2 linked regions of the Coturnix japonica genome follow. The main gene of each other region encodes a partner of the protein of the gene in region 2 in a complex. Links are inferred from orthologs where the notes say so. Each region holds a gene or a part of one and is shown on either strand. Other genes may lie near its edges.

Region 1 (3,659 bases), on a different chromosome or scaffold from region 2:
TGATCTCTTCAGTGTTCTTTTTCCCCTTCATGCCTGTAAATGCACACAGCAATTTTTGGGAGTCTGCTTTTGGAGCTGTTTCAGCTCTAATGTTCCCAGATCTGACACAGCATTAGGAACCTGTACATTATGTGACTAGAAGTGATGCATGGTGTAACACATACCTGTGAACAGCCTCATACATTTCCATTTCTACTGCTAATGGCTGTAATTGAATAGAATATTTGTCTCTCTGCGAGTATCAGAGGTCAAGATGTTCTCAAAAGTCTTCTGTCAGATTTCTGCTGCAAGCTGAATAAAAGCAAGGCATAGCGAGTGCTGTTTGTTTGGATCAAACTTCATCTTGTCTGTCCCTCAGATGAGATCAGTCTTTGTTCTTCTGTCAATACCCTTTTTCACTGGGCCACATAAGGCAGTGCATGAGTGCTTGAGTTGTTCTGTTAACAGTGAAATTACTAATAATTCTAAACTTCTTTTGCAGCTAGAAAGAGTAAATCTATCTGCAGCTCAGACACTGAGAGCAGCTTTTATTAAGGTGAGACATAATTTGTATTGAAGGATGGTCAGTTAAACAATATATGTTGAAACTTAAATTCTTTATATTATTGTATTTGAAGAATGCATCCTTTATGATCAATAGTTTTCAATAAAACTGAGTGTACAATTGCATGGGCTGTAAGTTTGGAAGGTGTGCACATATTAGAAATCTGAATATACTTAAAAGTATATTAAACAATTTTAAACAATCCTACCTTGTGTACATGGTATGAAAGCGTAAAGGTGGCATAAATCAGTGAGGATGGAACAGGAAATAGAGGTAACAAATCCAGTGTTAATGGGACCAGATTATGTAGAATAGGTGTTCAGAAGTACTAGGAATGTATCAGGCTTGGAAAGATTAATAGTTAGGGAAATTTTTTTTGTGGATGAAATATAAGTTTGGTATTTGGTGTTTGTATTTACTTAAATCTAGCAGGAAACTGAAGAAATATTTCTTGTAACTTACTATGTACCATTCAGTAGCTATCTTTTAGACTTCTTTTAGCAGAAACAATAATAAGTATACATGCAAGGTACATCGAGCGTAGCAACCAAGCAGTGCTTTCCTGTTTCTCCTCTTAAAGTGTACCTGAGCAGACACAACTCTCAATTAGAACTCTTCCAAGTTAAATGTTCTATACAGATAGTCCTAAGGAGCTAAGCTGAATACAAATAGCATGGAAACTAACCCTATTGGAAATGGTAGTCCTAGCTCAGAACACACACACCCTCATTCTTGTTCAGCACAGCCTATTTTTGTGATAGCAACACAGGTACTGTGAATACTGCTAATGTTACATTGCAGGAGTACAACAGCATAGAGATGGTTCTGTCAATTTGAGTAAGAAATATTTTGTAATGAGGGGAAGGGCATATTGATAAAGTCATTCATATAAAACTGCTGATATAACCCAAGAAAAATATACTGGAAGAACAGCTGTCAGTGTAAAGTGCTTTTTTAAAGGCATTAGAATGGAAATTCTTCTAGCAAACACTGGTGTACAAAACAACTTGCATTAAAATCTGCTTTTGTGCTTGCAATATTATGATTGCATTTCTAGAGCATTTTTTAGAGTAATTTATCCTACAATGCAGGCTGAAAAAGAAAATCCAGGCCTCACACAGGACATTATTATGAAAATTCTGGAGAAAAAAAGTGTGGATGTGAATTTTACAGAGTCCCTCCTACGTATGGCAGCAGATGATGTAGAAGGTAATATCTTGCCTCATGTTGTGTAAGGGCGTTCTTCATCGTACTCTAAACAAGAGCATGCATTGCTCTGCCTATTTTTCAGAAGAGGTTTACTTTTACTAAGTAGATTCTTTTTCAACCATATTCAATAGAAGCAATAGCTCTTTCTCTGAGTACCTATTTTGGAGAGAATAAAGAAAAAGCCTACCACTGCAACTCCCCAGACATGTTCTTGACTAAGAGGAAGAAAATGCATCCTTTGAATGGTTTGTGTGGGAAGTTCACCTGTTGCAGTTTGTTTCAAATTGAAAGCATCAGTTACGATGACAGGAGAGCTTAAAGTTCTTTTAAAACTGTATTTCGTTATTGTAATGTTGTCAGTGTTCTTTGGAAATAAAATTGGGCTCTATTCTTTCCTCACTTTTCAGTAAGGAAAGTTATTGTTGGTCTGCTTCTGTTAGTATCTTGAGATCCATCATGGTTGCTAGTGCATTTTGTGAAGTAATGTTTTATTTAAGCTGTCACTGGAAACTTTTTGATGGAAAACTAATGGTATTTTTTTCACATATCCAACTTATTAGAATATATGATTGAAAGACCAGAGCCAGAATTCCAAGATCTGAATGAAAAGGCGCGAGCACTTAAACAGATTCTTAGTAAGATTCCAGATGAGATCAATGACAGAGTGAGGTTTCTTCAAACAATCAAGTAAGTACAGTATTTAATATTTTTATGGAGTTTTAGGGGCCTAACTTTATGTTTGGAGCTGAATGTTCAAATGCTGTGGGAGGCACTAGTAAAATTGTTCTCATTTGGAGAGTTTCTCATACACATAGAAATAAGAACAGAGCTGAACATTTAAGAGATCCTTGTGTTAGTAGATAGTAATTTGAATCAGTAATTAGCAGCTGAAGTTCCATGTCACTTTCCTAGCATTTGATTTCTGTGTCTTCTTTGAAATTCTTTCTGTGCTACTATTAAAAAAGGATTAAATTTCTATGTTTGAGTTGAATAGCTTATGCATATTACAATTCTTTTCATTTTCAAACAGGGACATCGCCAGTGCAATAAAGGAACTTCTTGACACAGTAAATAATGTCTTCAAGAAATACCAATACCAGAACCGGAGGGTATGTGAAATAACCTAATACAGTATTTCTCTAGTAGAAGAGGAAGCATATTGTTTTCTTTGTAGGATGAACAGAAGAGCATAACTGGTCAATGTCAGTGTTTTAACATGGCTGTTTGGTAATTCTCAGCAGTTCCGTAGGAAGATTGGTTTTAAAAAAACATACAGGGAAAGAACAACCCATTACCACAGTAAACCCATTCTTTTATCTACATAATCCTTGTGTGCTTTCTTTTATTTTTAATTGTGATGTACACAATAGCATCTCAACTTAGACTTCTTGGCTTTTTCTTTTCCGCAGGCACTTGAGCACCAAAAGAAAGAGTTTGTAAAATACTCCAAAAGTTTCAGCGATACTCTGAAAACCTATTTTAAAGATGGCAAGTAAGTGTCTTTTTATACTAAGCTTATACACAGTGAAAAGGTTTTGTTTACCTAATTGGTGTGACTAGAGGAAAATAAAGACAAAGCCATTTGACTGAAAAAGTGGGGCCAAGAATTGTATGTGTTGTGTGCTTACCCCATACATGCTGAAAAACAGACCAGCTTTGTTCAGCCCTATGTGAAGTGAATGCTGTGTGTTGTGGATATATGCTTTACAGTGCCTCAGGTATTATCAGTATTTCAGAAAATCCCAGGTAACATCTATGTTCCTTGTGGAACAGAAAATAATTTACATCTGTTTGAACAACACACTAGATAAGATAACCTGTTGACATGAGGAAGAAAGAGCACTAAATAACATGGTCACTCATAATGGTATCATTGAGTTGGAAAGCTCAGTGACCCCATGCTTCT
Region 2 (3,659 bases):
AACCTAGCTTTCATGATTAAAAATAAATAAATACAGAACAAATTATTGGAGAACATACTTAATTCTCACTTTTGTGTCATTTGATTATTATAATTGTCTTTCTCAAACTTGTGTTCTTGACAAACTAGAACTAATTGCATGATACTGTAATTACTGTAAATTTTATTTGGATAAGGGGTGTTATGTTAACATGGTTGTTTTAAACAGGAGTAGGAAAATATTTGAGCTGATAAATTAGTACAGGATGCTTTTGTTAAATCTTTGCACATTTTTTTTCCAGGGCAAAATATCATAAATTGAAGTATGGCACAGAATTGAACCAAGGTGACTTGAAAATGCCAACTTTTGAATCAGGTAACTTCTATGATAGTACCTGTTCTAGAACAATTTCTTTGTCCTGTTCTAGATTTGCTCAATTTAGTGTAACTTTCTCCTTCCCCCCTCAATTACATTATAGAGGAAAAAAAATCCAGGAAAAGTTTGATATTAGGTAAATATTTTTGATTCGAAATCATAATGAATTGACCTTTCTCTTCTGAAACAACTGTGAGTATCAGTGAAAGTTTGGAATAGTTGCACAATTCCTTATTAAGCTGCTGCTTCTCTTACTGCTTTTTAAATTGCTGTTATAAAAGATTTAGCATTTCGTGTCAGTTTGACATCCATCTAGAAGGGAAGTTTAAGTGTACAATATGTATCAGATTTACTGTTGTTTGGTGCTACCACAAGAAAAAAAACAACCTTCTTTAATTAAAAGAAACTACTGCATAAGACTGCAAGTAACTTAAAGATTGCTTTTTGTAAATAATTGCTTTTCATTTCATTGTTGCATTGTGAAAAGTCAATTTTAAAAATTAAACAAAACCACAAAAAAAACCTTCTGAAAACCAGTAACTGCAAATGGTGCTGTCTTTCAGAAGAAACCAAAGATACGGAGGTTCCTGCAGTACCTCAAAATAGCCAACTCACCTGGAAGCAAGGCAGGCAGTTACTAAGACAGTAAGTAGCATTGTTGGAATGTTGGTGTATTCATGCTTTTTCCTGAGGTCTCAGGAGCTGTGTATGTGCATACTTTTTGATTTGGAGTAGTTGAGGTGGTCGCACGGTGGACCATGATGCAGGAGTTTGTAGTTTTGATCTTTAAACAGTGTACGTGGAGCTTTTTTGTGTGAGATGGACAGAGATAAAGCTTATCTTTTGTAAAATATATTATAGTAGTATTAATTTCTAAGTGTCAGTTCAGATTTATTTCCTTTTTCCATCAACTGTGCTTTCTTCTTTCTCCTTTTAATATATATTAGGTATCTTCAGGAAGTAGGTTATACAGATACGATATTGGATGTACGCTCCCAGCGGGTAAGGTCTTTGCTTGGGCTCTCCAATTCAGAACCAAATGGTTCAGTAGAGACAAAGAATTTAGAGCAGATCCTCAATGGGGGCGAATCTCCTTCATCAAAACAAAAGGGACAGGAAATCAAAAGGTAAGTGAGGAGGTGAGAAATGCGTGTAGTTTAAGTTTGTCTATGTAGTCATTTTAATGTACCAAAGTTCGCGAAGAACTTCAGACTCTCAATTCTCTGAACTGTGAGCGTAGCTAACTACAAATGATTATGAACTTCATTGAAACTGATTGTATGCCTTGCATGGGAAAGATAGGGTTGTATGACATGTATTCAGATTCAGTGCAGCTTTGGAATTAACATTTTAAGGAAAGTTACAGCTGAGTGATGTAACTTGAAGAATTAGACTGCTGTAGAAACTTCATACAGTCATTTCTTGGTTTTTGCTAGTTTTTAAAATTGTTGAGCTGTTGAGTCAGACAGCCATTGTGTTAATGTTAATGAATCTCCCAAAAATCTCATGAGCAAGTAAAACTCTCTCCTTGTTAATTTTTTTGTTTTTGTAGGAACTCTGGTGATGTTCTTGAAACATTTAACTTCTTAGAAAATGCGGATGATAGTGATGAAGAAGAGGAGAGTGACATGATAGAAGATATTGCAGAAGGAAAAGAGAAGCACCGGATAAATAAGAAACACAAAGTAAAAAAACAATTTTAAGATATTGTTTTGCATGCACAAACTCTTATCTTAAAAGGGAAATATCTTTCCCTTTTTTCCCTAGATAGTTAAAATTATGTCCTTTCTCTTATTCCATGCTAGAAAATTCTTTCACTGTGATTTTTTTTTTTTTCACACAAGGAGGTTGATTTAGGGCAGTTATACCGCCAATTTTCTGTAGTATTCTGTAGTGTGGAAGTGCCTACGGCTGCCTTGAATTTTCATAAGTAACTCAGCTGTCATTCAACATTATCTCAGCTTAGTGTAAGTTTGAATGTCCCAGTTTGACTTGTTAGGAAGGTTTTTGCACTGTACCTGTAGTTAATAACTTGTACATCTAGTACAAGTTGTTGCTAAACCTCATGTCAGTATTCTTTTCTAATGATTACTTTACTGTGCTGCTCTCTTTTCTTCTGTAGTTGTTGTAAACAACTCTAGTTCTGTGTGGATTTGAATGTGTTTCATGTTGAAAATAAAGCAAAGTCTTCAATGAGCATAATCGCTATCATTTATAATTAAACATTTGAGTAGATAAAGGTTGGTGGTTAAAATGCAGAAATGTTCTTCATTTGATTGCAGATTGGTAATGAAGGTTTAGCTGCTGACCTTACTGATGATCCCGATACTGAAGAAGCCTTGAAAGAATTTGATTTTTTAGTGACAGCTGAAGATGGTGAGGGAGCTGGAGAAGCCCGAAGTTCTGGAGATGGAACAGAGTGGGGTAAGATGCTAACAAAACAATTTAGAAATGAAGTAATACTTGTTCATGACAGTACAGTACCTTCACAAGTTGCATGGGTGTGCGGATGGTTGTGATGCTGGTTATTAGCTATAAATGTATTGAATGTTGAAGCTTCCATATTTTATGTTATTTTAGTTGACAGAAATATAATTATACTTCCAAATGTTTTGCTTTTGATTCCAGAAAAATCCAATTAAAGGAATATATTGCTTGAATAAGACCAGGATTCTGAATGTTTTTGTATTTGAATTAAATTGGCTTTTGAATTTTGATTTGTGTTCTGTTTTTGTGATAGGGAGCTTTAGACTTGCGTTCAGCTTAAATTAATTTCTTTGGTGCCCTTGTAAAAATTAATTTTGAAGGTACCAAGGATTAGAAAGTGTTTGTTGCTTGGAAATAGCATCAAAAAGTCAATAACCCTTTCTTTTAAATTTTTTTCCAAGCTCATCTTTGTTTCTAGTTGGAAGGTGAAGGCATGCAAGTTGTACTACATACATAATACTACATACTTTTGGTAGTATTTACTGGGATTTAGAAGCATTTTAGTTGCCTTTAAAGACTATGTCATTTGACTAGTGTATTGGTCTTTTTATTTAGCCAAGCAGGCAGGTCTGTCAGTATGAGAATTCTCTTAGGCCCTGAAGCCAAGGTTCTGATTTTGAATTTGCACTTTCCTTTCAAATATTGAGTGCAAAGAATTCTGGTTTCTGAATCAGTCTTACCAGTATGATGTATAGGAAGACATACATAGCACTTCTTTTCTTTCATGATGTAGCTCTGTTTTCTTCTCAGTGTTTTTTTCCACTTTCAGGATTTCCTGTCACTAGCATCCCTACCATTCCTTGTTCTAGTGAGGATTC

The links. Proteins that work in one complex are often made in the same cells at the same time.
Region 1: STRN3 (region 2) and PDCD10 share a complex: the UniProt entries of both Homo sapiens proteins name them as parts of the core of STRIPAK complex. The link is inferred for Coturnix japonica from reciprocal best matches to the Homo sapiens genes STRN3 and PDCD10.

Annotation. Positions count from the first base shown.
Region 1 is NC_029524.1:18,278,605-18,282,263, forward strand, and holds part of PDCD10 (programmed cell death protein 10), read left to right. Parts: intron 1-481; coding exon 482-535; intron 536-1,635; coding exon 1,636-1,753; intron 1,754-2,313; coding exon 2,314-2,440; intron 2,441-2,783; coding exon 2,784-2,862; intron 2,863-3,162; coding exon 3,163-3,245; intron 3,246-3,659. UniProt on the Homo sapiens protein: Promotes cell proliferation. Modulates apoptotic pathways. Increases mitogen-activated protein kinase activity and STK26 activity. Important for cell migration, and for normal structure and assembly of the Golgi complex.
Region 2 is NC_029520.1:30,872,782-30,876,440, forward strand, and holds part of STRN3 (striatin-3), read left to right. Parts: intron 1-280; coding exon 281-354; intron 355-917; coding exon 918-999; intron 1,000-1,301; coding exon 1,302-1,481; intron 1,482-1,906; coding exon 1,907-2,039; intron 2,040-2,636; coding exon 2,637-2,778; intron 2,779-3,659. UniProt on the Homo sapiens protein: Calmodulin-binding scaffolding protein which is the center of the striatin-interacting phosphatase and kinase (STRIPAK) complexes.